Ovis aries: one gene and its partners. The protein of the gene in region 1 purifies or fractionates together with the protein of each later gene. This does not show direct contact. Links are inferred from orthologs where the notes say so. Each region holds a gene or a part of one and is shown in the gene's direction. Other genes may lie near its edges.

Region 1 (4,047 bases):
TCAAACATTGTGGTACTATGCCTCAATAGCATAGCAGTCTGTTGCTCATAATTTAAGAATGTTATGTGTTTAAGATACATGGTTTGTGTTCTATCCCTTACCTTTGAATCTTTTAATTACTGGTTATTTTTCTAAATTGATGGTGATGACCTGACTGAGATGAAACATTTCTGTGAGAGGCTTCCTGCTCTAACCTCCTTCTCTCTTAGAACAAACTTCCTTTTGCCTGTCTCTCTTGCATTCCAAAGTACATTTTCATTAAATCCCCAGGTCTAAGATTTTTCTTTGGGAACTATCTTCAGTGTCTCTCTGGAAATTAAAAAAAAAAAGATTTCAGTATGAAATGTTACATGCATATCTTGAGAAATTGATATTTTATAAGTTGAAGGTTACTTTTATATTTTGGGCATGTTTTCAGGGGTGAAATTATGTACCTATTGTTTTAATAACCATGTCCTAATTATTTATAGCTTCCTGCCTGACATAACTCACTTCAAGAAGTGCACAATGTCAGAACGTGGAATTAAGTGGGCTTGTGAATACTGTACGTATGAAAACTGGCCGTCTGCAATCAAGTGTACTATGTGTCGTGCCCAGAGACCTAGTGGAACAATTATTACAGAAGATCCATTTAAAAGTGGTTCAAGTGATGTTGGTAGAGATTGGGATCCTTCCAGCACCGAAGGAGGAAGTAGTCCTTTGATCTGTCCAGACTCTAGTGCAAGACCAAGGGTTAAATCTTCATATAGCATGGAAAATGCCAATAAATGGTCATGCCACATGTGCACGTATTTGAACTGGCCAAGAGCAATCAGATGCACTCAGTGCTTATCCCAGCGTAGGACCAGGAGTCCCACAGAATCTCCTCAATCCTCAGGATCTGGCTCAAGACCAGTTGCTTTTTCTGTTGATCCTTGTGAGGAATACAATGATAGAAATAAACTGAACACAAGGACCCAGCATTGGACTTGTTCTATTTGCACATATGAAAACTGGGCCAAGGCTAAAAAATGTGTTGTTTGCGATCATCCCAGACCTAATAATATTGAAGCAATTGAGTTCGCAGAGACTGAAGAGGCTTCTTCAATAATTAATGAGCAAGACAGAGCTCGATGGAGAGGGAGCTGTAGCAGTGGCAACAGCCAGAGAAGATCGCCGCCGACTGCGAAACGGGACTCGGAGGTGAAAATGGACTTCCAGAGGATTGAGCTGGCTGGTGCTGTTGGCAGCAAGGAGGAACTTGAAGTGGACTTCAAAAAACTAAAGCAAATTAAAAATAGGATGAAAAAGACTGACTGGCTGTTCCTCAATGCTTGTGTGGGTAAGTTTCTGTGTTTTTGAATAGGTTGGGAAAAGATATTAATGACGTGAAAGATATAAGGAAGGTAACATTATTTAGCATTTAGTTCATTCAGCATGATAGTACACTCCCAGCGTGCATGCATAAGAACCTCTGAGTTTGTGATCTTGTCCTTTGAATGGGTTGGGAAAAGATATTAAAAGTAACATGAAAGATACAAGGAAGGTCACATTATTTAGCCTTTAGTTCATTCAGCATGGTAGCTGCTACTGGCAGTGTGTGCGCATGCATAAGAACCTCTGACTTTGTGATCTTGGCGTAACATTTTCCTGTATTGCCTCCATTTCATTGTGCATGTGTCTTTCCATCTTTAGAGAGAAAAATGTCAAGTTATAGCAGAGTTTTTTACATATCTGTAGTAAAATATATACCTGCAGTTTAAAACTGCTACTCTGCTTATTGTAACAAGATGTGACTGAGGAGTGCCAGCTGCAGCTTCGGAGTGTCTGTAAACAGTGTGAGCGTCTTGTGATGGTAGAAGCTTCAGTCAGAAGTTAAAAATATCACAAAAATGTGTGACTCCAAGAAGTTGAACAGACATAATACTGACCTTGAAAACGCTGATGTTAATTTTTTGTGAATGTCTTGTAGTGAATATTTGCAAACTTCGTGAAACTGATTTCATGTGGCCAGCTGGTTCCATAGTTCAGATTATGATTTGTGTGTGTTGTGTTTTGGTACTTTCCTAAGGAAATGCTGGATAATAGTCTCAGTTACTGGCTCAGAGCTGTTAAGGGACAGAGCCATGTTGTGAGAGTAAGATTTTCTCCAGTTACTGATCTTGTGAGTTAATTATTTATGATGTAGTTAATGAAAGCAGTTTTTTGTATGCCCCCCATCGCTGTTGAGTAGATTAGCTATTTTAATTATATAAATTTAAATAATTTGGATTGGGTGCTTACTTTTTTTAAAATATAAATTTATTTATTTTAATTGGAGGTTAATTACTTTATAATATTGTATTGGTTTTGCCATACATCAACATGAATCTGCCACGGGTGTACACATGTTCCCCATCCTGAACCCCCCTCCCACCTCCCTCCCCATACCATCCCTCTGGGTCATCCCAGTTGGGTGCTTGCTTTGACATTCAGTTTTGTAAAGAAAGTTTTGAGTGACTGCTAAAGTTAAATCTCGTGTAGAGTAATAGCTATGCCTTAAACATGGCTTGGGCTGTGTGTGTGGTATGTGTGTGTATTTCCCAGTACCAATTAATTTTGTTTATCCTCCTGAATATAGCCCCAAGAGTATGGAGTACATAACTTATGAACCTACAAGTCCAAAGAGTAGATTTCAAGAAATCTGTTTTTTTGTTTTAGCTTTGTCCTGGCCCCCCAAGAAAGTCCCAGCAGATGAGCCCTTCTGCACAAGACACAGACACAGCCCTTAGGAAACGTTAGCTCCAGTTTTCTCCTGTCCTGAGGACAAGGAACAAAAGCACACTGAGCTGTGTTCAGTCGTCTGTGCTGTCCCATTACAGCCCATCGATTCTTTTTCTCTCCCCAAATTGAGGTACCACATATGGTGTGAGTGTTTTTTCTTTTTTTAAAACCCGGAGATACAGAAGGGGGGTTGTTTTTTTTTTTTGAATGTTTAAAAATTGAGGTCAAATTCATATAACATAAAACTCATCGTTTTGAAAGTGAACAATTTTGGGGTATTTAGCACATCCACAGTGTTGCAACCATCATCTCCATCTAGTTCTGAACATTTTCATCATCCCGGAAGAAACCCATTACCCACTTAAGCAGTTGTTCCACACCTCCAAGACCCCAGTAATCAGCAGTCTGCTTCTGTCTCAGTGACTATTATTGTGAATATTGCATACAAATGGAAACTTATGTGATCTTTTGTATCTAGGTGTGATTGTCCTTTAACTACCCATCTGCCTTTTAGAACACTGTTAGGATTATTTTTGCAGGCAATAGTGTAATATATTAATATTAACTGTAAGGTGGTGTTATAGTACCTGTATGTTTATAGAAGGTAAGAAACTAGATTGCAGTGATTTTTTTAACCTCTTTGGGGTTACTGTTTCTTCAAGTTAGTGAATCTAATGATGAGAACTGCTTTGAAATATTTTTTCCCCTTGACATGCACAATAGACCTGTCAGTATATCTTTGTCTTTATGGCTGTTATTTCTTGCATTTCTGACTACTGTGTCTTCTTGATGTTTGTCTTTCTTTCCATATATTGAGTTTTTTTTGGTAACTATCTTTTTGCCTCTTTGAATTCTTATAACTGAGCAAAGTCAAGTCCCCATTCCCACATGTTCCGTAGTTTCTAGGTTCTTAGGGCTAAGAATTGATTGGTTCTTGGTACTGTGGATTCTCTTTCCTACCAGCAAGTATTTTTGAGTTTTCACTGTATAATATGGTTCTAAACAGTTGTATGAAAGAGTTTGGTCCTGTCTTTGTTGGATAGTCTTATCCTGATTTGTAAATACCATTGAAATATGTTAACTTTTAGTTGTTTACATTGTGTTGGGTTAGCAGAAGTCTACATGTATTGAAAATTAATCTTCTCCCTTTCTGTCTGCCTTATGCTTTCCAGATTTCATTAGATATGGTATATTATGGCTTACCGATTTAGACATTTAATAAAGCCATCTTATTACTCGGTTTGGCAGCATATATACTAAAAAAAAATCATCTCCAAAGTGTATACTATGCATAAAATTTATACT
Region 2 (4,047 bases), on another chromosome or scaffold:
AAAATTTCAGAATAAGCTACACTGTAGAACTTAAAAGCTAATTGAAACAATAGTAATTTCAGGGAAAACTATATTTCTATCTTGAAAAATGAGGTTTTCATTTTGACCCTTATAATCTATGTATGTATTGTGTTTGTTTGCTTGCTACAAGTTTTTCTCTCTCAGTTGATACAGAGGGATGACACAGTGCATATCACTTTTGACATCATTTACATGAATAAAAGGAGTCCTGTTTTAGACATCTTAAAACAAGGTCAGATTTTATTAAATAGCTGGATTTTTTTTTTTCATTTTCAACAGATAGCAGAGGGAAAACAAGAAGAAATCCAACAGAAGGGACAAGCTGAGAAAAAAGAATTACAACATAAGATAGATGAAATGGAAGAAAAAGAACAGGAGCTCCAAGCAAAAATAGAAGCTTTGCAAGCTGATAATGACTTTACCAATGAAAGGCTAACAGCTTTACAAGGTAAGTTAGCTAATCCAGAAATTGATCTGATTTAATTTTTTCTTTCTTTTTATCTGTGAAATATCTTTTTCTTGGACTTTTATTTACAGTACGGTTAGAACATCTTCAAGAGAAAACTCTTAAAGAATGCAGCAGCTTAGGTAGGTGTCACCAGATTTCTTACTTAAAGCTGAATTTTTATCATTAAATTTTTGTTTACTATCTCACATTGTGTACTTGCTTTCTTTAAGAGGGATGTTTTACATATTAGGTGTAAAGTATCTACCCTCTTTCAGAAAATTTCCTTTAAAAATATGCTTGATTGCCACCAGTGGGCACCATTGTGTAGTCTTTGAAATGAATGAAATTTATACATCTGAGATGGTCTGCTTAGAGATATTTAAATAAGAAAAACACATGAACAGCAGAATCCTTTTTCTTTTGAGGTTTATCGAAAGGTTACTAAGCAGTTCTAGGCTTTTCGCTAAGATGATAGAAAATGGCAAGTTGAACCCTTCTTGTAAAAATAAATTTAAACTGTTCAGTCAGTCTTAATGTCAGTAGGAATACAAAATGCCATGGTTACACTTGAGACCAGTTTTAAAGTAATACTTTTTTTGATCAGGCAATGATACACTGTCTTAATCCTAGGGATACAAGTTGATGACTTCTTACCTAAAATAAATGGGAGCACAGAAAAAGGTAGTGTAAAAAACTTAAATATTTTTCTTTTATGATATCCTTTTACTATTTAAGCAGGATAGAGAAGTCAGGGATTTTAGATTTTAAGTGTTTGGCGTGAAAAGCATGCTGTTCATAGACTGTTAAATCCCATCTTTTAAAAGTCAAGCTTCCTTTTATTTTCTATTTCTTAATTCTGTGAGCTATGATTAGATGTCCCTTGTTATATGGAAATTTCAGTTATTGAAATAGTAAGATTTTAATAATGTTCAACTTTAGTGTTGGTTTATATAACCTAGTATAGCTTCCCCTGCCCTCTACTATATTTTCAAAGACGATACCACCATTTTCTTTCATCAAGTACTGCTTTCTGGGGATAATTGGCCCCTGTTTTTTAATATTTGTGCCCTGCCCCCTTCCTGGCCAAGAGTTTACTTAAAAGTCCAAAAAAGAAACAAAAATAGAAAGAAAAAAAAATGTCCAGTGAGTGTTTGGATGTGTCATCGAAACTGCTCTCTTTATCTGTCTGTTTTATCAATCAGAGAAAAGGGAGTCAGTCATGTATGCCATCTGAAAAATTATCTTTTTGTTCTTGATATCTGATCCTTCTTTCTGGATAGCTTGGGTTATCTCTTGCCACAAATGTATAACCACTGTTGGTTTTCCTACTGCAACATGAGTTTTCTACTCAATGGTTTCTGTATTCCTGCAGTCATGAAGATTTGTCCTCCCTCCCCATTCATCCAACATTAACTGAGCACCAGCTATATGCCAGATTCTGCATTAGATCCTTAGAGTACAAAATGCATAAAATTATTTTCTGTGTTTACAAATATATGTGCCTCTCAACTCAGTGTTTATATATAGAAGATGCCAAGGTCAGTACCCGAAACTTCATACTAAATAGTTTTTCCATGTATCAGGGGATAACTTTATAATTCTTGGGCGGCATCTAAACTCTGATAAAGTTAGGAAGTGCTTTTTTGGTTTGTTTTGGTTTGGTTGGTTTGTTTTTAATCAGGAAGTGGAATAATAGGCTCAGGTAACCATGTATATGTGAGGTACAAGATCAAGAGCTAATATTCCATGTATAATAAGTCTTGAAATTCAAAAAAGTTTCATCAGTCATTATTATGTGACTATTTTATATATGCTTTGTGAAATAACATTGACACTATAAAATTTCAGTTTGAGTTTCAATTTGAGACTTTTTAAAGGTGTAGTTTATGTTCATGCACCATTATTATTAAAGTATATTTAGTAAACATATGTAAAAAGACTTTATCTTCATCTTCTAAAAGCTTCTCATTCTTAAATGAATTTATATTTTCTGTTGTTGTTATTTTGCTCTTTTTTCTCTTTCTGGCATATACACTTCTCATTCAAATCCATCACCCTTTTGACTAGAACATGTATTTGTTGATAAAGCTAGTGTTAATTCAAGCTGGGAGCATTCTATTTAGTTAATAATCTTTTTATGTACACTGAACCATCATTATGCTATTTAGGGTTGTAAAATTATGGCTTAACAATTTTTTGCCAGTTCTAGTTTATTTAAATGAGAAAAGCTGTAGACAACTCCTTGATTTAAAACTGAATAAAATATTAATATTTTGGATACCTTAGGGTACTCCTGGCAATGATTATTTTTCCCTTGCAGATGTTAGTGCTTAATTGAGTAGTGTGTGAGTGACTAATAGAATATCTTTAAAGAAAAGTGAAAGTGAAGTCGCTCAGTCGTGTCCGACTCTTTGCGACCTGTTGACTGTAGCCCACCAAGCTCCTCTGTCCGTGGGATTCTCCAGGTGAGAATATTGGAGTGGGTTGCTATTTCCTTCTCCAGGGGATCTTCCCGACCCAGGGATCAAACCCAGCTTCCCACATTGCAGGCAGACGCTTTAACCTCTGCACCACCAGGGAAGCCCTGAGTAGTAAGTATCTGGATAAGCACAGAAGCTTCATATTTAGTTACAGAGTAGATTATGGATAAGATGAGTCTATTCTGAATCATTTATGATATAATAAGAGACTGATTATCAAGTATTCAAATATTGTCAAAGTCTGTAGTTATAATATGCTATTAGATATAATTGTAACCAAAATTACTCTTTAAGCAGCAGAAGGAGAACCAAGTTTAGTTGTAAGAGAATATTTCAAACATGTCTGGAGAAGTTAAGATTAATAATACTTCTCCAGTAAACTCATTTTTAAAATTACTTAAATCTAAAGTAGCTGTTATAAGCACAACTTTGTACTATAATTTTTAAAATGTTACCTAGTAAGCATGTTTTGAATATATCTTAGATGGTATTTAGAGAAGTGCTGTTTAATAGAACTATTCTGAGTGCCACATACATAATTTAAAATTTTCTGGTAGTCACATTAAAAATACAATAAGGAATAGCTAAATTTTTAATAATATATTTAATAATATGTTTACTTTAGCCCACTGTATTTAGAATTTTATTTCAATATGTAGTCAACATTAAACTATTACAAATGAGTATTTCACGTTCTTTATTCCTTAGTAAGTTTTTGAGGCCTGCTGCTGCTAAGTCACTTCAGTCGTGTCCAATTCTGTGCGACCCCATAGACGGCAGCCCACCAGGCTCCCCCGTCCCTGGGATTCGCCAGGCAAGAACACTGGAGTGGGTTGCCATTTCCTATAGATACTTAATTTACGCTGACAACACATCTCAATTCAAACTAGCAACTTTTTTTAAGGGCTCAGTGGTCACATGTGGCTAATGGCTGCTGTACCGGACAACACAGGTCTGAATGAAATACGTAGGTAACCCATGTATAAATAAAACACATTTTGTCTCATGATTCTTATTATGTTTCTGTGGCTACTTTTCTTTGCTTTCCTACAACCCTCTTTAGTATCACAGGACACCATCACCACTCCTCCTGCCCTC
Region 3 (4,765 bases), on another chromosome or scaffold:
TTGGCCCTAAAAACAAGCAAACAAAACAAAAAAAGAGTTATTAAGCCATGAAGAGAACCTTACATGCACATTATTAAATGAAAAAAAACCAATATGAAAAGGCTATATATTATATGATTTCAACTATGCAACATTCTGAATAAGGTAAAACAACAGACTCAGTGAAAAGATTAGTGGTTGTTAGGGGCTAGATGAGAGTGGAATGAATAGGTAGAGCACAGGTGATTTTCAGGGCAGTGAAAATATTCTGTATGATATTATAGTGGCGGATATGTCAAGATATGTTTGTCTAAACCCACAGAATATATACAACACTAAAAGTGAACTCTAATGTAAACTATGGAATTTGAGTAATAATGGTTTATTGACATACATTCATTGTCAGAAATGTACTAGGTCATGGAGTACTTTTGACAGCTGTGCATGTATAGGGGCATTTATAAAACATTTGCATGTATAAAACATTTTTAAGATTTATTTCTTCTCCATAGGAACTGTCTTCCTATTGCCAAAAACTAGACCCTTTCTCTCTCCACTGCTGGAGGATTTTTCCAATCTCCCAGTTAATCTCCTTTTCAAGGTAGTTCCTATTAGCTGTTCTGGTCACTCTCGCCCTATACATCTTTGTAAGACTCTTTAGAACTTTTCCAGTCAATGTTCTAGTCCAGAACTTGCTACTTTACCTCAGCATAAATTCTGTATCGCACACATTTAAGTCCCTGCTGACTTTTGCTCCTATTTTCTCCATCATTGCTTAACGCTGGTTTTTGCTTGAGGCACAGGTCCTCTTTCCTTTATTTTACAACTGATCAGGCTTTGCTTTCTTCTTCCTCCTCCCTTGTAGTGTTCACTTTATACCCATTTCTTCGGGGTCCAAATAAATGCCACTTCCTCCTTGAAGATTTTCCTGGCAGCTCCAAGTCACATTCACAGCTCTCAAATAATCATTCTTATGTGCTGTAGTTGGGACAAGATAGTGGAATCCTCAACTCTTATCTCTTAATTTGACCTATGAGCAGGAGACCTAGGAACTTTACCTGCTATAGTGGGACATGTATCTATAGACATTCGAGGCGCAAATGCGTAATTTACAAAATACTAGTTCTTCAAAGATATGCAGCAGCTCCTCTGCTTAAAGGAACACGCCTCAAATACTAATACGCATTTTTGTTTTTTAAATACAGTGGGTGTAGGAGCATGGTTTACTTATCTCACAAACCAAGGGATTCATTTCTTGATTAAAAAAAAAAAAAGAAAGCTATATCACATTTCCAACTAATTACGTCTCAACTGTCTCCAAGAGCTTCTCATACGCAGGCATGTTTTGTTTTCAACGCGTGTGAAATAAAACGTTCGAAGGGACTAACTACAGACATACTTAATATCACAACCCATAGGAAAAAGTCGAAAACACACTCGAGGTACTGCTGCTTCCTGGGAACGCCACCGGGCCTGAATTCAAACCTTTTGGAACCTCAGCTCTCTCGTCTGTACAGTGGAGAGGATACTCGACAATATTTACCTCCCAGGGTTGTGGTCAAAGGTTTTCTTTCTGAACTGCCGGGCAGTTTGCCTCCCAGGACCGAAGGGTGGCGCTTTTCTTCCCGCGATGCACTTCCGTGCGCGAGGAGGGGAGACCAGCGAGGAGGAGAAGCTCTCGCCGGAGGCCGGGTCCCAGAGGCGGGAGGCCGGGCCCGGACAGGTTGGGCCGCAGCTTCGACGTGCAGCGTTGGGGCTTTCAGCAGGAGCACGCCAAGTGTATACACACCGTGCAAAACACGCTGAGCGTGCGTGCACCCGTATGTGCGCGGTGCTGGGAGCGCGCTTCAATTGACAACGAAACGTGAAGGCGCAGAGCGTACGAAAGGAAAGCGACAACTGACGAGGCCGAGGGAGCCGGAGACCTTCTGTAGCGGCGACGAAGCTACCGGGCGCTCCGCGCCCCTGCGCCTCGGGCCGACGGGTCTCCACAGCGCCCCACGTGGCGGCCAGCGGGGTCGCAGCCAGCGCAGCCCATTTGCTCCGCCTCCGCGGCGCACTGCTGCCCTCCTCAGCTTCCCCGCCCGGCTCTCCCCCGACCCTCTTCCCTTCCCCCTCCCGGATCGCGATGGACGCGGTCTCCCCCCGCCGCCGCCGCTGGCAGCACGGCGCGGGCCTCTAAGCTGCAGGCCTCTGGAGCCGCGTGCCGGGGTCGGGACGTGAGCTGGCTGCCGCCGGTCTGGGGAACCTCTGGCTTTCCTGTCAGCAGGTCCCCGCGGAGGAAGGGGAGGGACAAGGCGCGGCTTTTCCTGTGCCGCCAGCCCGGCTCGACCTGCGCGGCCTGCGGCTTCCTGGGAACTCGAGGGCCGCGGCCGGGCCTGGCTCAGCCCGCGGCCTGCTTGGAGCTGGACCGGAGCGGTTTGAGACGACGGGCCTGGGTAAGAGCTTGAGGAAAGGGGACGCAGGAGCGCCTTCGGCGGTCGGAAGGGTCAGGCCTGGTTCCGGGATCAGGGATGCCTGGCGGTAGCCCGGGAGCGAGACCCCAGCCCCTGGTGAGGTCGGCGGGCTGCCGCCGACTCACCCGCTTGGCCCCTTTGTTTACCTCCCCCGACTCTGCCCACGGCGGGCCCCGGCTTGTCCGAGCCAGAGCCCATGGCTGGCCCGCCTTGTCCTTGAGAAAGGATCGCCGCCCGACGGGGCCAGGGACGTCCCCCCGGGCCTCGGAGTTCCGGGCGCCGCTCCCGGGAGACCCATCGCCCTGCCTGCTCCGGCCTCCTTCTCTCGGGTAGAGAGGCTCGCAGCTCCACCTCCAAAACTTACCCTCCTCCTCGACACAGGTAGCTAACTTAGCCGGGTTTGGTTCGGGAAAACCGGAGCGCAGTGCCTGCGTCTCCCGGCGCCGGGTCGGCTGGGCCCCGAGTTTTGGGTCACCCTTGCAGATCGCCGCCGTTGGGTGCCCACCGGAACCTGCCGCTGGATTTATGCACCTGCAGCTGGGTTACGAGGGACCCAACGCTGTCCTCTCGTCAGAGTGCTTTTGAGTTTTTGTATTGATTTGCCAGTTGGGGCTGCTTCTCTGTTGTTGGCTGCTGTTGTTTTTAACCAACTGCCCCGTTCGGTGAGGATGGGTAAAGAGGACCGCAGATTGGCCTGTGTTCTGATCTGTAACGTGTTAGTCCATTGCACTTACTTGTAGCATTTCTTTTTAAACTTTTAAGAACAGTTGCTGCTACTGCCAAAATTCCTAATCAAATCATAGATAGATCTTGTATATTGTTTGTATTTGGACATCTTAAGGATAGCAGTAAATTAAATCAGCAGAATTTAAGAAGTTGAAGTTAATTTTAGAGACTTGATTTGGAGGGGAATTGGATCAAAGTGCTAAGTTTCCTTAAAATACTGAATCTAATCCTTATCAGAAGATCAGCTTTGGGTGACGGAGGGGGAAGGAAGTTTTCTGGGGAAAAAAAGAACCCTTAGTAAGGTGTTGTTTGCCTTTTGGCAAACATGTTGGTGATAGCAATAGTGGGATCCGAAGCTTGTTTGACTGTCTTTGACAAAGGCGGCTCTGGTTTCCAGTTTAAGCAGCAGCCTAATCAGCTTATACTCTTGTGCAAAACTGGTTTTATTTAGTACAATGTATGAAGTTAAACCCGAGGAATAAGGAAAGTTGGAAAACTACGGTTAAGTACACTATCCAAACATACTTACAAGTCTTTTCTAATTCCTAGGATACCAAGAAAATCTGGCTCTAGCCGATGTAAAAGAAAAGAAAAAAAATTAAGCCCACGCTGTTCAGTCCTGGACATTTAAAGGAATTTTTGCCTTTGCTTTTTAAATTTAAGCAAAGAAGCCTAAGAAACAATGGCAGATGTGGACCCAGATACTTTGCTGGAATGGCTGCAGATGGGACAAGGAGATGAAAGGGACATGCAACTAATAGCCCTTGAACAGCTATGCATGCTGCTTTTGATGTCTGACAACGTGGATCGTTGTTTTGAAACGTAAGTGCAACCCTTCATCATTTTCATTTGGGGATGCTGTAGTGACCTGGGCATAACGTGTTTTCAACCATCTGCTGATTTGAATTTGTATAGAATTTTTCTTTAGTGAGTTTTATTTTTTTAATATATTTATTTTAATTGAAGGCTAATTACTTTACAATATTGTATTGGTTTTGCCATACATTGACATGAGTCCGCCACAGGTGTACATGTGTTCCCCATCCTGAACCCTCCCCCCCCCCCACCCTCCCCATCCCATCCGTCTGGGTCATCCCAGTGCACCAGCCCCAAGCACCCTGTATCATGCATCGAACTTGGACTGGCGATTTGTTTCACACATGATAATATATATGTTTCAATGCCATTCTCCCAAATCATCCCACCCTTGCCCTCTCCCACAGAGTCCAAAAGACTGTTCTATAAATCTGTGTCTCTTCTGCTGTTTCACATACAGGGTTATCGTTTCCATCTTTCTAAATTCCATATATATGCGTTAGTATACTGTATTGGTGTTTTTCTTTTGGCTTACTTCAGTCTGTATAATAGGCTCCAGTTTATTTAGTGAGTTTTAAAACTTATCTTTTGAAAAGCTTCTGTAGTTTTGCATTAACAATTTTCTGAGAAATAAAAATTGGTAGGTAAACTAACTCCAGTAATGATAATTGTGATGACACAAATACATGTTTGTTGACTGAATAGGAATTAGTAGAGAATGCTAATTCTACCCGATAACCTGACTGATTCATTTTCAAAACATGTTATAAACTGAGAAAATGCAAATG
Region 4 (4,473 bases), on another chromosome or scaffold:
CAAGACAGACAAAATCCCTGCAAACAACTTACAGATAGAGCAGGAAAACAAAAGGGGGCTGTGAGAGAGAAAAAGTGGTCAGGTGAGGAGAGGACTGTTAAGCTGAGACTGTCCTACCATTGCCCACGAAACAGTGTAAGGGGATCTATGCTCACTTCAGGCCAGGCTTCACCTGGCTGCAGCTCTAGAATGGTAATGTAATGGATAAAGAAAACATCTGACATGTGGAGAAACCTTTGGGGACAAGGGCAGTTTTCCCGTGATTGCTGGTAACACTGAGAGATTTCTTACCTTTTAGGTTGCAGGATAAGGGAGCTTCAGGGGAGCAGTTCCAGCCCAGCTCAGCTGCATCGCTGAGGAAGGAGAAACCAGGAGACCCTCAATCAGTCAATTTCACACAATAGAACACAATTTCATCTCACCTACAAAAGTGAGATGGGAAGGATGTCATAGCAATGTATAACCACCTCTTCTTTCATAAATGTGTCCAGAAAGGTAAGACTAGAAGTGACAGAAGGTATTACCATGACAACCCCTTCCCTAGATCCACTCCATCCTGAGAGACAATCTTAAAATGTCCTTTACCTTGGTGGGTCTTAGGGTCACTGGAAGGGGGACTGCCCCCATTACCATAGTAACCAGGACTTGGCTTTGCTTGTTTCTCACCTCTCTGGGGATGGTCCAGGCCTTGTAACCATAGCAACTACTTCTCAGCAGAGCATCTCCTCTAAATAAAAACACCTGGTTGGTTTGGTCCACAGACCTCCCACGATGGGAAAGGGGAGATGGTTACCATGGTAATGCCAACTGTGTGGCTGGGGGGAGGGGCTGGGAAAGAGCTGCTTCCCTTAGCACTGTCCTTGGGGCTGGGGTCCTTTCTCCCTGAGGGCTGGGTGAGGTTGCCATAGTAACCGATGTGGGTAGGGGCATAAGGACCACCAGAGACTTGGGTTACCTTAGCAACCTCTTCCTGGTGCAGGGCCAGGAGAGAGTTGGAGCTCCATAACCACAAAGGTGGAAGGGAGAGGAGGCTAAGGGTGTTCCAGATTGGGAGGAGTTACCATGACAACCGACCTGGGCCAGAAATCAGGATGGGGCCATTGCTGAAACCACCCCTGGTGGTCGTTCTTTCCCTCAAAGAGTGACAGTGATTGTGGAGGAGAGTGCTATTTGGGTCTGGAGAGGGCTAGAGTCTTTCTTTGGGATGAAACGGGAGGAGGGGGGTAGAAAGCGGTCCCCCCCCCCAAGTACCGCGTTTCCCATGGGCGACCCTCGCGCGGAGCCTGGGTCGCGTTTGCCCTCCTCCGGGCGCGCGCCCCCTTTCCGCCCCGCGCCCCCTCCCACGCGCGCGCCTTCGGGGTCGACCCGGGTGGGCGAGGCGCGCGCCCGACTTCGTTCCCGTCACCCGCCCCCCCGGCCCCCGCCGAGCGCGCGCGCGAGGGCTGGCGCGGCCGCGCAGGCGCGCGAGGCACAGCGGGCGCGCGGGCCGGCCCCGGGGCCTCCATGATGGAGGAGCGAGCGGCCGCCGCCGTCGCCGCCGCCGCCTCCTCCTGCCGCCCGCTGGGCTCCGGCGCGGGCCCCGGCCCGACGGGGGCGGCCCTGGTCTCCGCCCCCGCCCCGGGGCCCGGCCCGGCTGCCAAGGGAGGCGGCGGCGGCGGAGGCAGCCCGGGTCCCGCAGCGGGACCGGAGCCCCTGAGCCTGCCCGGGATCCTACACTTTATCCAGCACGAGTGGGCGCGCTTCGAAGCGGAGAAGGCCCGCTGGGAGGCCGAGCGCGCCGAGCTGCAGGTGAGCACCGCCCCGGGACCCCCGGCCCCCGCCCGCCCGGCCCGGCCCAGCCTCACCCGCCGCCGCCGCCGCCGCCATCTTGGAGCAATGGCCGCCGGGACGGCCGGGGGGGCGGGCGGGGACGGCGACCGGCCGGGAGCCGGAGTGAGGGGCCGGCCGAGGGGCGGCCGGCGGCGGGAGGGCGGCCCGCGCGGTCGCCGGGAGGAGGCGGCGCGGGGCCCCCGGGCCTGCTGGAAGTGGGAGCGAGCCGGCCGGCGGAAAGGTTCCTGGGAGAGGGGCCGCGGAGCCCCGAGGCGCCCCGGGAGAGCTCCGCGAAGCGTTGGGAGGGGATGAGGGGTCTTGTGTACGAGTGAGCCGGCAGCTCCCAGGGTGCCGCACGAGGGACTCCCCATTCCGCCCCCGACCAGGTGCGCGCCGGAGGCGGAGCCCGATGGACCCCGGGCGGGGGAGAGGGGGCGTCGGGGGTGACTGCGATCAGCCGGGGGCGAGAGCGGGGCGGGGAGCCCGCGTGAGTCGAGAGAGGAAGTCAGGGAGCCCGGGACGCGTGTGTGTTTCGGAGCGTTTGGACTGGAGGGACTGAATGACGGTGGTGTTGAGGACTCCAAGGATGCGGAGCAAGGTCTCCGGGCGCGAGGTGGGGGGCGTGAAGGTGTGTGTCCTCTCCTCTGAGGAGGAAACTTTGGGGAGCCCTGGCAGGCCTGGCTTCCGCGTGCAGGGGAGGGGTCCCAGGGTTGGAAGCACGGATGGAGCCAGGACGTGAGCCAGGAGCCTGTGTTGGAAGAGAACGGAGAGCCGAAACTCTTTGGGGATGTGGGGGCCCCCGCCGTGAGATGGGAGGTGAGGTGTGTGGGATGTCAGATGGAGAACCCCCGAACTGGAGTATGGGAGGGTCAAACTTGGCCAGCTGTGGAGAGGGGCGGTAGGATGGAGACAGTGAAGAGGAATCGGGGAACCTGGGGCATGGCAAGGGGAGCCTTTTTGGAGAGCAGGAAGACAGCCAGAGGAAACATTTCAGAAGGATCCTGGGGTGGGAGGTGTTTGTGGAAGTTTCTGGGAAAAGATCCTATGGTTTGTGGAGTAGATTCAGGGAGGAAGGTGTCCTGAGATGTTTGGAAGAGGCTGAGGAGCTGGGCTGGGTTTTGTGACCTTGAGAACTGTGGGTCGATTAGCAGAGTGTCCTGAGGAGCCTGGGTATCCCAGTGGCGAGGATTTGGAGGGTTGGGGCATTGTTAGCAAAGTCAGTATCTCCTTCTAGCATCTGGTCTTTCCTCTTTTCAGTTGCTGTTTCGTATCTGGTTGAGGTGGGGACCCAAGTAAATAACCAGATTAGAATTTTCTCCCTAGGATGATTAAAGAGAGCATCCCACACTTCTCCCACCCTGAAAGGGATCTTCACTGTGTGGTGGCTGAGGCTTGGGGTTAGAGTGGGAGAGAAAGCCTTACCTAAGTACCCCTTGCTATGATATCCCATCTGTACGTCTTATTAGATCTTCTCAATACCCCCATTGTGAAGACAGGGCCAAGGACGTTGCCCTTATTTAGCAATTATAATAGCAGCTGCTGTTTATTGAGTTTGTATTATGGGTGAGACACTGTGTTAGACACAGCAGATACATGGTATCACTTAGTCCTTGCAACATTCTGGGAGGGTGAGGGATGTTATTCCCCTTCCCTTCCTTTTCAAAAATAAAAGAGGAAGTGGAGACTTTGAGAAGGTCAGTCGTATATCAAGGATCATAGCCTGTGGGTGGCAGGGGTGGTCTGTGGACTTTCAAGCCCATACCTGTCTGACGCCCAGGACAGATGACAGGCTTGTTTCAGGGAAGCTCAGTGACCTTCCCAGGGTCATCCAGGCGGCCATAGGAGACGAGGGTACCCTGCAGCACCCACCACGCCGCTGCCTCACCTTTGAGACCAGCAAGAGGAACGATGCGTCCAGGCTCCAGCGTCGTTTACTTTGTACCCCTTTGTTGTTATCGTTCTGTTACATTAGTAAATTTCAAGGATCTCAGAAGTGCCTGTGTGTGTAGATGTACACACACCAAGTGAGTGAGAAGGGAAAGAGCCACTCCCCGAAACCCTATTATTGCTATAAAAGTAATTCAGCTCTGTGTGTGTAATATATGAAATCCTATTCAGTTCAGTTCAGTCGCTCAGTCGTGTCTGACTCTTTGTGACCCCATGGACTGCAGCACGCCAGGCTTCCCTGCCCATCACCAGCTCCCGGAGTTTACTCAGACTCATGTCCCTCAAGTCGGTGATGCCATCCAGCCATCTCGTCCTCTGTCGTTGTCCCCTTCTCCTCCCGCCTTTTACATGCTATTACATGCATCATTTTGTGACTTATTTTCACCTACTTATATATCTTTGCGTTTTTTTCATATGAGCACACAGAGCGCTTATTATTTTTGGGAACTGCACCCCGCCGGTGTCTGCACCACAGCTCATTTAGTTTGTGTCCCCTTAATGGATTTTTTGGTAGTTTCCACTTTTTGCCCATTGGAAGTGGCCGCAGGGACTGTCCTCGTATTCCCTCCTGAGTGAGTGTACAGCAGAATAAACAGGTGGGGTGGTAGAACAGACGTGTTTATAAACTGGTGATTGGTTCTGCCAAGTTGTCCCACATGTACACTCCCCGCAGCAGCACCTCTTTTTATACACTTTTACTTGAGCACTTATCACTTA
Region 5 (4,047 bases), on another chromosome or scaffold:
TTTTAGTTCACTCTTATGTGTGGGATACAGCTTTCTGAAATCAAAACCTAAAGCCAGATAGTCTGCTAAGCCCTACTTTCTTGGCAGGCCCTGGACATCAATCTATAGCTCTCTGTATTGCAAAGTCATCAGAAACACAGCTCAACCTCTCAGCCATCTCTTCTGCAATCAGTAAACACTCACGGGGGAAAACAGTTCCAGATACCAGGCTCACTTCCGTAGGCCTCTTGTCTTCACCTGGATCCTAGGTTTTTTCCCACGATTTTGTTAGTTATAGATTTTTTTATTCTTAGGTTTGCTATTCTACTTGTCCTCAGTACACAGTTGGTCCTAATGATCTGGTCCATCATGACCAGAAGCAGAAATTCCCATTAGATGCTTTTGTTCCTGCAAAGAGTTTGTCTAATACATAAAGGAATTCAATCCTCTCTCTGGAGAAAGCTCATCCTTTTTTCATAACTTAATTGTTAGAAAACTTAGTGTTAGTCTGTCTCAGTTTCTAAAAGTAGTTCCTAGTTTTATTAAGCATATTAGCAATCTATTGCTGCATAACAACTTGTACCACATTTAACAGCTTAGAAGAACAAACGTTGATATCTCACAGCTTCCATGGGTCAGCAGTCTGGGGACAGCTTAATTATGTGACTGGCTGTTTGTATGGTTGTAATCAAGACATTGACAAGGGCTGCAGTCTTACCTAGACTTGACTTGGGGAAAATTGCTTCCAGGCTCACTCATGTAGTTGTTTGAAGGCCTTGGTTTCTTGCTGACTGTTGTCTGGGAACCAGTTCCTCACCGCATGGACCTCTCTGTGGGCTCCTCAACAGAGCAGCTGGCTTTTCCCAATGTGAGTGCACCTAAAAAGATAGGGAGCAGAAACACTCGAGATGAAAGGTTTTATAACCTAATTTTGGAAGTAGTTTATTCCAACTTCTGCTGTATGCTGTTGATCACAGAGCATGCCTATAATGTGGAAGCGTGAAAGTGTTAGTTGCTCAGTTGTATCCAACCCTTTATGACCCCATGGACTATAGCCTGCCAGGCTTCTCTGTCCATGGGATGCTCTGGGCAAGTATACTGGAGTGGGTAGCCGTTTCCTTCTCCAGGGAATGAACCTGCGTCTCCCACATTCCAGGGAGGTTCTTTACCATCGGAGCCATCAGGGAGGGGGACTACCCAAAGGTAAAAATAGGTGGGGCTGACTGGGAACTTAGTGGCTGCCTACCACATCAAGATAATCAAAGGAATTTAAGTACTCTTCCACATGAAAACCTTTTAGCTCTTTTATAAGAATAAAAGAGGTCAGCTCGGTTGCCCTTGTCGTCCTAACCTTCCTGCCAGCCCTGCCTGCCCTCAAAATAATCGGCCCCATTCTTAGAGTAGTTCCTTGCATAATGTGTTTTGTTTTCACTCATTGCTTCCCAGGTGGCGCTAATGGTAAAGAACCTGCCTGCCGGTGCAGGAGACAAAAGAGACCTGGGTTTGATCCCTGAGTCCGGAAGATCCCCTGGAGGAGGGCATGGCAACCCACTCAAGTATTCTTGCCTGGAGAGCCCCATGGACAGAGAACCTAGTGGGCTATGGTTCATTGGGTCGCAAATAGTCAGACACAACTGGAACAACTTAGCACGCATGAATTGCCCCAGTTGTGACATGTCCTGTCCAGATTTCTCTGCAGATTTTTAAATGTCTGGGTTCTAAATTACAGTTTAATAGTATAGCCTCTGAAACCAGATTGCTTGATTTTGAATCCTGACTCCTCCATTTACTAGATGGCAAGTCACTTAACTTCTCTTTCCCTAAAATGGCTAGTCTGTAAAGTGAGGATACTGTTAATTCCAACATCATAGAGTTGTGAGGATTAAGTGAGTTAATGCTTTTTAAGTCTTTTGAATAATGTAGAAAATAATGAATGCTGTATAGAATATCAGTTGTTGTATCATTGATAATTTTTGTAACTGTGAGTATGGTAACATTTCTCTAATATATTACAAATACTTGCTTAAATCTACCATGATTGTTAGCCTTGGAGTGTGAAGTTCATCCATGGTGCTTGTGTAAAGTCAAACACTATCCTCTTTAGCTTTTCTATTAGTTGGAATGAAAAAACAGTGCATTATTTTTTCAGTTATTGAGATTGAGATTCTGTGGAGAAAGTGAAAGTCACTCAGTTGAGTCCGACTGTTTGTGACCCCATGGACTGTAATCTACCAGGCTCCTCTGTCCATGGGGATTTTCCAGGCAAGAATACTGGAGTAAGTTGCTGTTCCCTTCTCCAGGGAATCTTCCCAACCCAGGGATCGAACCCAGATCTCCCGTGTTGCAGGCAGATTCTGTACCATCTGAGCTACCAGGGAAGCCCTCTGTGGAGAAAAGGAACATAGTAAATATATAATTATGTTCGTAATATCTGATTGTCTTTTCCAATTTTAACATTTTGTTGTCAGTATATAAACTTCATTACCAATTTGAAGAAAATTTAGCTCTTGTCTGAAACCACTGAAAACTTTGAAAGTATCATCATATTCTGTAATGTTAACATGCTTAAAGATAATTTAGTTTTTCAACTCTTAACCAGAATTGCTTTATATTCTATAATTCAGGTTTAAATCACTTGTCTTTTTAAAAAGCATCCTAGTGAAATTTTGTTTTTTGTTACTAAGTTATTTGATCCTCCTTCTATACTGAATTATGTATTTTCTTATTATAGCATTCATATTTCTTCAAAGAAAACCATTGTTGACATATTGCTAATTTTGCCTATTGATTTGGTTATCTGCTTAAAAATTACATTATTTTGAAAGTTGCAAAATAATGGTAGTTTAATGATGAAACAGTAAGAATTAATGCTGAAATACAGTTTTTTCCCTCATTCTGAACTAAGTATATTGGTATCTTTTTTTTCTTTAATAGATAGCAAATAATAAAGATGCATTGAGGAAGACATGGAACCCCAAGTTTACATTAAGAAGTCACTTTGATGGTATTAGAGCTCTCGCTTTCCACCCCACTGAGCCTGTTTTGATAACAGCATCAGAGGATCACACGTTAAAAATGTGGAATTTGCAGAAAACAGCCCCAGCCAAAAAGTGAGAATATTCTACTTTAACTGTATTTGAATAATTTAATTAATATTTTTCAGCAGAGAAAGCCTTACTTTATTATTTGCTGTTAAATTCCTCAAATATCTCTTCTAATTTTTTTCCTTACCATGTTATGTAATTTAGGATGTTTTTGCCTTCATACTCATAAGCTAATTTAGGTTGAAAAACTGACCCTTAGGGAGAAATGGTTTGTGAATGCTGATTATAATCTTTATTTGGTGTTTTAAATAACTTAAATTTTGAGAACCCTTTGTCTGCGCTGGAGGTTTCTGTTGTTGTAAGCAGGCATAGTCATGTTTAAAACCGTCAAACCCCAACCCCAATCCTTCCCCATTGTTTACTAGGTTTGGCCTTATGCTGGAGCCGGTGGGGGCAAGAGACCTCTCTTTGATCCTTTCTTTTGATCTTGACCAAAATGTCTAGACTGAAGGGGTACTGTTGCTGCTCTCACTTATCTGCTAAACTTCCCTTGGCCCCTTGGTTCCTCTGTAAGCACGGACAGACATGAGTTGGTATAAACCCCTTTTATCAGTCACCAAGCTAGTCCTGATCCCACTTGGTACTTTCTCTTTCTTCCTTGGATTACGTGGTCCAGAACCCAGCATCTACCAGCAAGGGCCCTTCTACAGTGATAGATACCTCTTTTTATTAAAGAGTAGAAATGAACGTCAAATGGAGGAGAGGACAGAAGTTTTACTACTGACAGAGAATATCTCCTGCCCAATTTGAAAACAATCAGTGACATTCCAGCTGTCACACCTAGACGTTCATCAGACAGCTCAACTGGATATTGCTAAAACCAAGTGAATCTTCATGTAGATCAGGTGTCTTTAACAGAGAAAGGTATTTCCTGGTTACAAACTGTGCCTTTTGTTCTTCAAGTTCTTTAGTTCACAGTGGGCATCATATTAGATGAGAGAATGTTGAGTATCTCATCATATAT
Region 6 (4,047 bases), on another chromosome or scaffold:
ACCCTGAGCCAGAACTACCCAGCTCAGCCCTCAACTCCTCCAAGACTCCTGACCCTCAGAAACTGTATGAGATTAAAAACGGTTCACTAAACATTTAAATTGGGGGTAATTTGTTAAATAGGAATAAATAACCATGTGAAGTGAAGTGAAGTCGCTCAGTCATGTCTGACTCTGCAACTCTATGGACTGTACCCTGCCAGGCTTCTCCATCCATGGGATTTTCCAGGATGAATACTGGAGTGGGTTGCCATTTCCTTTTCCAGGGATCGATCCCAGGTCTCCCACAATGCAGGCAGACTCTTTACCATCTGAGCCACCAAAGAAGCCCAAATAACCATACATACTTCCACTAAAGCTCTTCTTTCATTTATCAAATAATAACATCTATTTTTGTTTATTTTTGTTGTTATTATTTAGGTTGTTAAGTGTGTAACCCATCCAATTCACTTGACTGACGCATTAAGTTGGTTGGAAAATACTATATTCCATCTCATTTTCCAATTCACTGTTTGGTATAATAAATACAGAATTCACTTTTCCCATATTCAGGCCCTTATTAAAATATACTTAAGAGAATTGTTTCATGATAAGGAACCTTTTTTCAATTATTTCACAGATTCTTTTCACTTATATTGAAGCTACCAATTTTATATAACTTGTAATTACTGTACAAGTGATTATGGAATTACAGTGAACTACTTCAAGAGAAAACAGACAGCTTGATAGCTATTCTCAGGGAAGTCTGAGACCTCACCACAGAAGCTCCGCATCCATTACTTGTAACCCTGTGATGCTTATTAATTCTACAGGATAATAACGGTGTGGGTTTTAAAAAGTCATATTTTTAAGGGTGAGTTAACTATGTACTCAAACCTGAGAGGAGCTTCCCAGCAGATCTGATATCAGTCTTGAATTGTACTCCCAGCTCTGCTCTCCCATACCACTTTCTCCATGGTGTTCTGAAAAGGAAAAGGTCATAAAAATATTCAGGTTCGCTTTTTCCTTTTTGCCCTACTAAACCAATTTCAGTACCAATAATCATTTCTTTTCCATAGCTAATCTTACAGAAATAGTAATCATGAGTAAAAGATGTGACAGAAGACTGGGATTTCAACTCCTTAAAGAGTTTTTTTTCCTCTCTTACTTCCTTTGTCTGTTTTGCTAAATAAGGATTTGCCATAGATAGAAATAGCCACAGATAGAAACTTTCATGGAATCCTGGATTATCAATCTCATGTTGTTGTTTTTTTTCAATCTCATGTTTTTATATCTGAATTTAAAGAAACAGACGTTCTTCATGAAAACATTGATAAGTCACATTTGTTTGACATTAATGCTCTTATATACGTAATTAAAATTGGCTTTTTTGTCTACTCTTGCCATGATTTTTTAAAAATAATAGGACTTCCCTGGCAGTCCAGTGGTTAAGACTCCCAACTCCCAATGCAGGGGGCATGGGTTCAGTCCCTGGTCAGGGAACTAAGATCCAGCATGCTGTGAGGTGCAACCAGAATAATGATGGTGATGATGATAAATAGTTTTGGAATTGGTCTTGTCTTTCTCCATCCTAAATGGACTTGATTTTGAAATTTTTGAAATTTTACTGAGAATTTTCTTTTTAATTTGGACCTCAAAATAGGATTCTGTCTTTTAATTTACATGCTCACATGTGCACGCATACATACTTGTAATAAGGTTAGGGGGTTAGTTAACAGTAACTTACAGCAACAAATGAGTTTCAAATTTCTAGTATACAGATATTATCCAAATACTCCAATAATGTCATTGCTGAAGATGGTTGTAGTCAAGCCAGAAGTAAAACCCAGGGCTTCTAACTCTGCTTTGAGCATTTGCCAACCGGTACCAATACAAATTTGTAACTCAAGGCTAATTCCTGAGTCTTAAACTTTAACAGTCTCTATTGAAGAAGAAGGCATCACATGTTCAGCACTGAAACCTGTTTCTTTGTCAAAGAAACCCATGTTCACTTTATTTTCTTGAGGGTTTTTGTTCTGTTTTTTAAGCATGGTCATTGGATTGTGTATTTTTCTTTTCAAATGGGTTCCCACTTGTGGGTGGTGGTAGTAAAAATATATATGTAGCTCCTGATAAAATAATTTTTTTAATTGAGAAATGACAATAGTTTTTGTAACTAGATGTCATTTGAAAGCTTAAATTATACAGTACTTTGCTATGACGTTTGAGGAAGTTTCCTCAACCCTCTATGAACAATTCTTTTTTTTTTTTTTTTGTAAAATGTCTTAGGAAACATTTAAATGTCTGTTTACATGATTGTTAATGTCCTTTATTCACCTGCACATAATATATGATGCTCAAATGAAATAGGACTTCAAATTTTTCCTAGCAGGGACAAGAGGGTAGCTTAAGAATCTCCTTCGACTGCCTTCCTGACCATTTGACCTGACTTGGTGCCCAGGACCAAAGCCCTAGGCCAGGCTCCAAGCACCAGTCCACATTCCCCGCTCAAGTTCCCCAAGCCCTGAAGGAGACAGGATGGAGATGAAAGACAGCAGCCGGACGGAGGCTAGAAGAGGGGGTGGAGGGATTCTGTCTGCAGCCCTAGTGCCGAGAGCCTCCACCCTCTTGACCCATCAGCAGTCGAGTGAAGTTCTATGTGGAGAAATCACAACCAGTCCTCGATTATAATGTAGAATTATTTTTAGCATCCTTTACTTACCTATGGTCACCTTGTTAGGTCTCTAAATCTGTAAACTCATAAAGATATTATGTTTACCATATTTTAGAAATGCAAATGCCATAACTCAGCAAGGAAAGATAAGATATACCCATTGGTAATACAAGCATTCATAAGCTGAGGCAGTAAGCATGGCAGTTCAGGTCACAGACTTTAGAGCCAGGCTGCCCAGAGGGGTTTAAATCCCAATTCTGACAACTTGCTAGCGGAGCAACCTGAAGCAAGTCACTTGACCTCTGCATAGTAATTTACTCATCTGCAAAATGGAAATGATAGCACCATTTTAAAAGTCAAAGTAAAACTTAAGGTAATCTGAATCTGAACACTTGGATCAGCATCTAACATGTAATTAGCACTGTATAAGTATTTGTTCTCATTAGTATGCTGTGCCCCTATTCTGATGCTGTATCTATACTTAGATGGCCCATCTGATTTGTAGTCACAGGTTACTTCATACCAACATCACCACCTTTGATGTCTAACTGCTAGCAAATCCCCTCTTCAGTAATATTTGAAAGCAAAATGCTTATTTTCCTTCTTTCCCAGGCCCAACACAGAGATACTTTCATTGAAGAACGCTATGGAAAATACAACATCAGTGATCCTTTAATGGCGCTCCAGAGAGACTTTGAAACCCTGAAAGAGAAGAATGATGGCGAGAAGCAGCCAGTGTGCACGAACCCGCTCTCAGTTCTTAAGATGGTGATGAAACAGTGCAAGAACATGCAGGAGCGCATGCTGTCCCAGCTGGCTGCTGCTGAGAGCCGGCACCGCAAGGTGGGTGACGCTGACACGAGCCCGCAGGCTCCTGTGACAGCTTTCTAAATAGTGCCTGATACTTTTCTGTCAGCTGCCAGGTCTCATGGTAGTTCAACTGGGAGGTCTCACAGGTGTCCAAAAAAAAAAGAAATCAGCTTACCTAGGAGCCAGGGGATAGAAAATGCAGGTTATTCCAAAGGTTAAATTTAGGGAGTATGTCAGACACATTATTTTAGATGACATTCCTTCTTGATACGACACTCCAAAACACTTGGTTTGTTTTTTCAACTCTTGATCACCCAAACTTTGGCAACAAACTGGGGCTTGACCAAGCCTTGTAGCTGAACAGAGTGTTCTCTATTTGCTTACTTAAGTGATAAATAGAAAGATTAATAGGTATTTGGGTATTTGGGGAATGCTGTATCAGAGAGAGAGAATTTACCTGACTGTAAACATACAAGCCAATAGATTATTTTTATTAAATTTCTGGTTTTGAGTTTCATTGCATTTTACCTCTCATGAAACCATAAACAGTCCCTACGGTTGTTTACCTTAAAGCTGTTCTCTATTAG
Region 7 (4,047 bases), on another chromosome or scaffold:
TGAGATGTCCGTAGGGTGGAGGGTTAGGTGGGAGCTCTGCCCCGAGAAGGCTCAGGAGTCCTGTCTCCTGGGAGCGCCAGGCAGGAGGTGCTGCACATGCTGGGGCCTCACCCGGGGTTGTGCTTCTAGCACCACAGTGCTGCAGAGCATGAAGCTGGGAGTGGATGTGAACCGCCACAAAGAGGTCATCGTTAAGGCCATTTCTGCCGTCCTGCTGCTGTTGCTGAAGCACTTCAAGCTGAACCACGTCTATCAGGTATCTACAGCCCCTTCCTTCTGTCCACGGGGCCAGGCCCTTGGGCAGTGCTGCTCCTCAGGCCCCAAAGAACAGAGGCTTGGCCTTCAAACCTCCCTGAGCTCTGCGCAAATGTGCAGAGAAACAGTCCTCCACACGAGGCTTTTTATCACGAGAGAAAGGGTGAGATCCCAACTGCTGCTGCTGCTAAGTCTCTCCAGTCGTGTCCGACTCTGTGCGGCCCCATAGGTGGCAGCCCGGCAGGCTCCCCCGTCCCGGGGATAGGGGGCATGCTTATTTTTTCTCCTGTTGCTTTCAGTTTGAGTACATGGCCCAGCACCTGGTGTTTGCCAACTGCATCCCTTTGATCCTAAAGTTCTTCAATCAAAACATTATTTCCTACATCACTGCCAAGAACAGGTGATAAGGACCAGGGATCAGGAAGGGGTGGGTATGGCCAGATGGCAGGGCTCCTAGCTGGCCTCTTCCACTGAGCCCAGTCAGCGTCCACAAGCTGGTGCTCTGCCAGATGTCAGGACCCAAAGATGAAAGAGACGTGGTCTATAGAAAACACCAGTTTGTCATACCTGAGTCTGGCTAGTCTCGTGACATAGGGGGCTCAGTCTGTCTGTGCCTGGGTGGGAGGGTTCTCATCCTGGGCTCTAGTACTGCCCTCAGTCCTTCTGTGTCCCCCATTCTTTTGAGGAGCCTGGCGGGGCTGCCTGCTGCTCCCAGGAGCTCGGCCATGTGCACTGTGATGGCTTGTCTGCTCTTACCCCACCCCGTCACCTGGTGCCAGCTGTACTTCACACTGTGAAACACCGCAAGCTGAGCTGTTAGCCAGACACAGTCTCCAGGAGGGGTTTGGCGTAAATTAATTGCCTTGAGAAATCGACCACCAGCCCCAGATGTATTGCTGTGAGGGATACCATGCTCTCTCCACCCCTCACAAGATTACAAGCTTGTCTCTGGCTACAAAGGGGTCTTACGAGTGCTCTCGTAGCAGGTGTTTCCCTGTCAGGGTAGAGCAGACAAGGTAGATTGCTGTTTCTGCTTCGGCACGCCAGAGAGGAAAGCCAGGAGTCAGCGGCCGTTCTGCCAGGCCCCAGCCCTTGCTCATGGTGGGTGCCTTGTTCTCTTGCTCCCTGCAGCATCTCTGTCCTGGACTACCCTCACTGTGTGGTGCACGAGCTGCCAGAGCTGACTGCCGAGAGTCTGGTGAGTAGCTGGCCTCTGCCCCAGTGCTTCCTCTGGGTAAGGGCTGGACTGGAGAGCCTGCCCCCTCACCTGGGGGAAAGGTGTCTTCACAGGTCAGCTCACTGTTGAGTGCCTGGCTTTTGAAGCACTGACATTGCATAGGAGGACCAGGAAGGGGACCTTGTAGGAACATTTGGATTTAGAAATTATTTTGTCAGGACTGTGGTCTTCAGGGGCTGCTGACCCAGAGCTCACCTGGTCGAGTTGTTTCCTTCTCCCCACGCTGGAACTCTGGGGCCACAGCTGTGAGGGAGCCTGGGTGCCCCAGGTAGTGGGGGCTGAGGCCAGAGCCCTCAATGTCATGCTCCACGTTCCCTACAGGAAGATTCTAGGGAGCACCCCCTACCCTCTGCCAGCTTCTGGGATGGCATGCCCCCGGGCTGAGGAGAGGAGAGAGTTCCTAGTGCCCACATGGAGTGACGCGCAGTGCTGAGGTCATATATGGGAGGGCCTGGGAAACTGGGGGCGCCTGCAGCTGTGCAGGAGACGATGGTTGCTGGGTTTTCCCTGCAGGAAGCAGGTGACAATAACCAGTTTTGCTGGAGAAACCTCTTTTCTTGTATTAATCTGCTTCGGATCTTGAACAAGCTGACAAAATGGAAGCATTCGAGGACGATGGTGAGTCAGCACAGCCAGCAGGCATGAGTCCCGGAGCTTAAAGCAGAGTGACACACACCGGCCTGTCCCTTCACGTGGGGGCAGGGAGTGCCCAGGCTTGCTGGAGCAGCCGCATCCTCCTCACCTAACTTTCCTGTAGCCACATCTTTACATGTGGAGGTGGATCCCTGGTTCCTCGACCAGTTGAACTGGAAGCTAGAAGAGGCTCAGTCAAGCACTGACACAAATTCTCATGTAATATAGAAGGAATTTTGAATAGCCTCTTAATCTCCACTGGTAACATAACCAGGGTTCTGAGAACCGTCTCAACTCTGAGTCTGTGGATGCCTCAGGTGGGGAGGCCCACTCACCCCCTGGAATTGTATGTACCTGCACATAGGGATACTTTGGGTGATGGACTCCATAGCTTTCTTCGGATTCCAGAATGACCCATAACTCGGGTGACCAACCATCCAGGTTTGCCTGGGACTTGCCTAGTTTTAGCCAGGAGACTTTAGTGGAAGTCATATGTCCCAAGAAACTCTTTAGTCTGAGGAAGACTGTGACAGTTGGTCACCCTACCTGTAACCCGGAGGGGCAGCAGTGGATTTATTTCTGCGTTCAACACAGCCTCCCTCGTGCCCCTTTCCAGATGCTGGTGGTGTTCAAGTCAGCCCCCATCCTGAAGCGGGCCCTGAAAGTGAAACAGGCCATGATGCAGCTGTATGTGCTGAAGCTGCTCAAGGTGCAGACCAAGTATCTGGGACGGCAGTGGCGGAAGAGCAACATGAAGACCATGTCTGCCATCTACCAGAAGGTGCGGCATCGGCTGAATGACGACTGGGCCTACGGCAACGGTGAGGCTCCGTGTGAGGCGAGGGAAGGGAGTGGGGGACAGTGACAGCTCTTCCTTTGCTCTCAAGTTTCCCTCCGAGCAACCTGGAAGTGCCCAGCTCCTGCGTCTGTAGCATCAGAATGGGACGCCCAGGAAGGGCTTGGAGAGACTACCAGGCTTGTGTCTGTGGTCATCCCTGCTCCTCTCTGTGCCTCCGGTTCCCTTTTCCAGGAATTGTCACAAGCCTTTATCCAACCTCTCGTCCTTTCTCTCACCCCTGCAGCTGCCTTGGTTCTGGTCACCGAAATTCTCGCAGCTCCTAATGGCCTCCCTGCCTCTGGTTCCTTTCCCTTCATCAGTGCCTCAGACTTTGCCCTAGTGATTTTTATAAAACCCAGATCCAGTGGTGGTATCTCTCTGAGTGTAATCCTTCTCTGACTTCTGATTTCCCTAAGAATTAGAGCCAAACTCTAAGCGCATAGGGCCCACACATGGTCCCTCCCTGTCCTCTGCAATCTGCTCCACCTCCTCAGCCCAGCCTCCATCACACCTGGGGCTCTGAGCACGTTGGCCGTCCTGCCCCGGACTTGGTCCCTCTCCTGGCAGGGTGCCTCCCTGTAGCCCTCTGTATCTGTACGTGCTCCTCCCCTCCCGCCTTGGCCTCCCTGGCAGAGTGGGTCTTCCTGGTATCCCCAAGCATGCTGCCGCACCCTTAGACTTCCTGACCACAGCACCAGGGGCACGTGACTGCATCTGCACTCCCAACGCCCTGAATTTGTAGAGGCAAGGTGGCCCACAGCACCCGGTCAGGGATTTGAGAGAATAAGCAAACGGGGGTATCTGCAGGTTCCTGCCTCTTACCTGGGAGAGCCAGGGGGAATGTGACTTTCAGAGAAGTGTGCTGTCCTCCTGGCTTTCCTCAGCAGACCCACGTGAACTGCTGTGTAGCCTCTTTCTCTGTAGCTCTGGTGTTTCCCCTTTGACCTGACTTTTCCTGTGTACCTAGGAAAGAAGTCCTGTAAGTCTTCCCGAGGGTTGGGCTTGGAGGTTTCCTGTTATTGGTTGACATTGAACTGGCCAAGCCCAGGCCCGCATGGCCCTGGGCTGCAGTGACCCCAAGGGG

What was found.
Region 2: the proteins of ZRANB1 (region 1) and SLMAP purify together in Homo sapiens (affinity purification with mass spectrometry; 3 studies listed by BioGRID and IntAct, with this or other methods). This does not show direct contact. The link is inferred for Ovis aries from reciprocal best matches to the Homo sapiens genes ZRANB1 and SLMAP.
Region 3: the proteins of ZRANB1 (region 1) and HECTD1 purify together in Homo sapiens (affinity purification with mass spectrometry; 5 studies listed by BioGRID and IntAct, with this or other methods). This does not show direct contact. The link is inferred for Ovis aries from reciprocal best matches to the Homo sapiens genes ZRANB1 and HECTD1.
Region 4: the proteins of ZRANB1 (region 1) and STRN4 purify together in Homo sapiens (affinity purification with mass spectrometry; 4 studies listed by BioGRID and IntAct, with this or other methods). This does not show direct contact. The link is inferred for Ovis aries from reciprocal best matches to the Homo sapiens genes ZRANB1 and STRN4.
Region 5: the proteins of ZRANB1 (region 1) and STRN purify together in Homo sapiens (affinity purification with mass spectrometry; 4 studies listed by BioGRID and IntAct, with this or other methods). This does not show direct contact. The link is inferred for Ovis aries from reciprocal best matches to the Homo sapiens genes ZRANB1 and STRN.
Region 6: the proteins of ZRANB1 (region 1) and CTTNBP2NL purify together in Homo sapiens (affinity purification with mass spectrometry; 4 studies listed by BioGRID and IntAct, with this or other methods). This does not show direct contact. The link is inferred for Ovis aries from reciprocal best matches to the Homo sapiens genes ZRANB1 and CTTNBP2NL.
Region 7: the proteins of ZRANB1 (region 1) and STRIP1 purify together in Homo sapiens (affinity purification with mass spectrometry; 4 studies listed by BioGRID and IntAct, with this or other methods). This does not show direct contact. The link is inferred for Ovis aries from reciprocal best matches to the Homo sapiens genes ZRANB1 and STRIP1.

Annotation. Positions count from the first base shown.
Region 1 is NC_056075.1:43,994,282-43,998,328, forward strand, and holds part of ZRANB1 (ubiquitin thioesterase ZRANB1), read left to right. Parts: intron 1-470; 5' UTR 471-507; coding exon 508-1,321; intron 1,322-4,047. UniProt on the Homo sapiens protein: Ubiquitin thioesterase, which specifically hydrolyzes 'Lys-29'-linked and 'Lys-33'-linked diubiquitin. Also cleaves 'Lys-63'-linked chains, but with 40-fold less efficiency compared to 'Lys-29'-linked ones.
Region 2 is NC_056072.1:43,481,499-43,485,545, reverse strand, and holds part of SLMAP (sarcolemmal membrane-associated protein), read left to right. Parts: intron 1-300; coding exon 301-469; intron 470-558; coding exon 559-609; intron 610-1,099; coding exon 1,100-1,150; intron 1,151-4,047. UniProt on the Homo sapiens protein: Associates with the striatin-interacting phosphatase and kinase (STRIPAK) core complex, forming the extended (SIKE1:SLMAP)STRIPAK complex.
Region 3 is NC_056071.1:39,550,486-39,555,250, reverse strand, and holds the start of HECTD1 (E3 ubiquitin-protein ligase HECTD1), read left to right. Parts: upstream 1-1,625; 5' UTR 1,626-2,417; intron 2,418-3,710; 5' UTR 3,711-3,843; coding exon 3,844-3,983; intron 3,984-4,765. UniProt on the Homo sapiens protein: E3 ubiquitin-protein ligase which accepts ubiquitin from an E2 ubiquitin-conjugating enzyme in the form of a thioester and then directly transfers the ubiquitin to targeted substrates.
Region 4 is NC_056067.1:53,621,437-53,625,909, reverse strand, and holds the start of STRN4 (striatin-4), read left to right. Parts: upstream 1-1,472; 5' UTR 1,473-1,503; coding exon 1,504-1,788; intron 1,789-1,844; exon of another isoform or gene 1,845-1,889; intron 1,890-1,934; exon of another isoform or gene 1,935-2,195; intron 2,196-2,285; exon of another isoform or gene 2,286-4,473. UniProt on the Homo sapiens protein: Calmodulin-binding scaffolding protein which is the center of the striatin-interacting phosphatase and kinase (STRIPAK) complexes.
Region 5 is NC_056056.1:87,162,517-87,166,563, forward strand, and holds part of STRN (striatin), read left to right. Parts: intron 1-2,913; coding exon 2,914-3,089; intron 3,090-4,047. UniProt on the Homo sapiens protein: Calmodulin-binding scaffolding protein which is the center of the striatin-interacting phosphatase and kinase (STRIPAK) complexes.
Region 6 is NC_056054.1:89,883,711-89,887,757, forward strand, and holds part of CTTNBP2NL (CTTNBP2 N-terminal-like protein), read left to right. Parts: intron 1-3,262; coding exon 3,263-3,493; intron 3,494-4,047. UniProt on the Homo sapiens protein: Regulates lamellipodial actin dynamics in a CTTN-dependent manner. Associates with core striatin-interacting phosphatase and kinase (STRIPAK) complex to form CTTNBP2NL-STRIPAK complexes.
Region 7 is NC_056054.1:87,360,020-87,364,066, forward strand, and holds part of STRIP1 (striatin-interacting protein 1), read left to right. Parts: intron 1-129; coding exon 130-256; intron 257-554; coding exon 555-655; intron 656-1,386; coding exon 1,387-1,453; intron 1,454-2,005; coding exon 2,006-2,110; intron 2,111-2,741; coding exon 2,742-2,946; intron 2,947-4,047. UniProt on the Homo sapiens protein: Plays a role in the regulation of cell morphology and cytoskeletal organization. Required in the cortical actin filament dynamics and cell shape. Part of the striatin-interacting phosphatase and kinase (STRIPAK) complexes.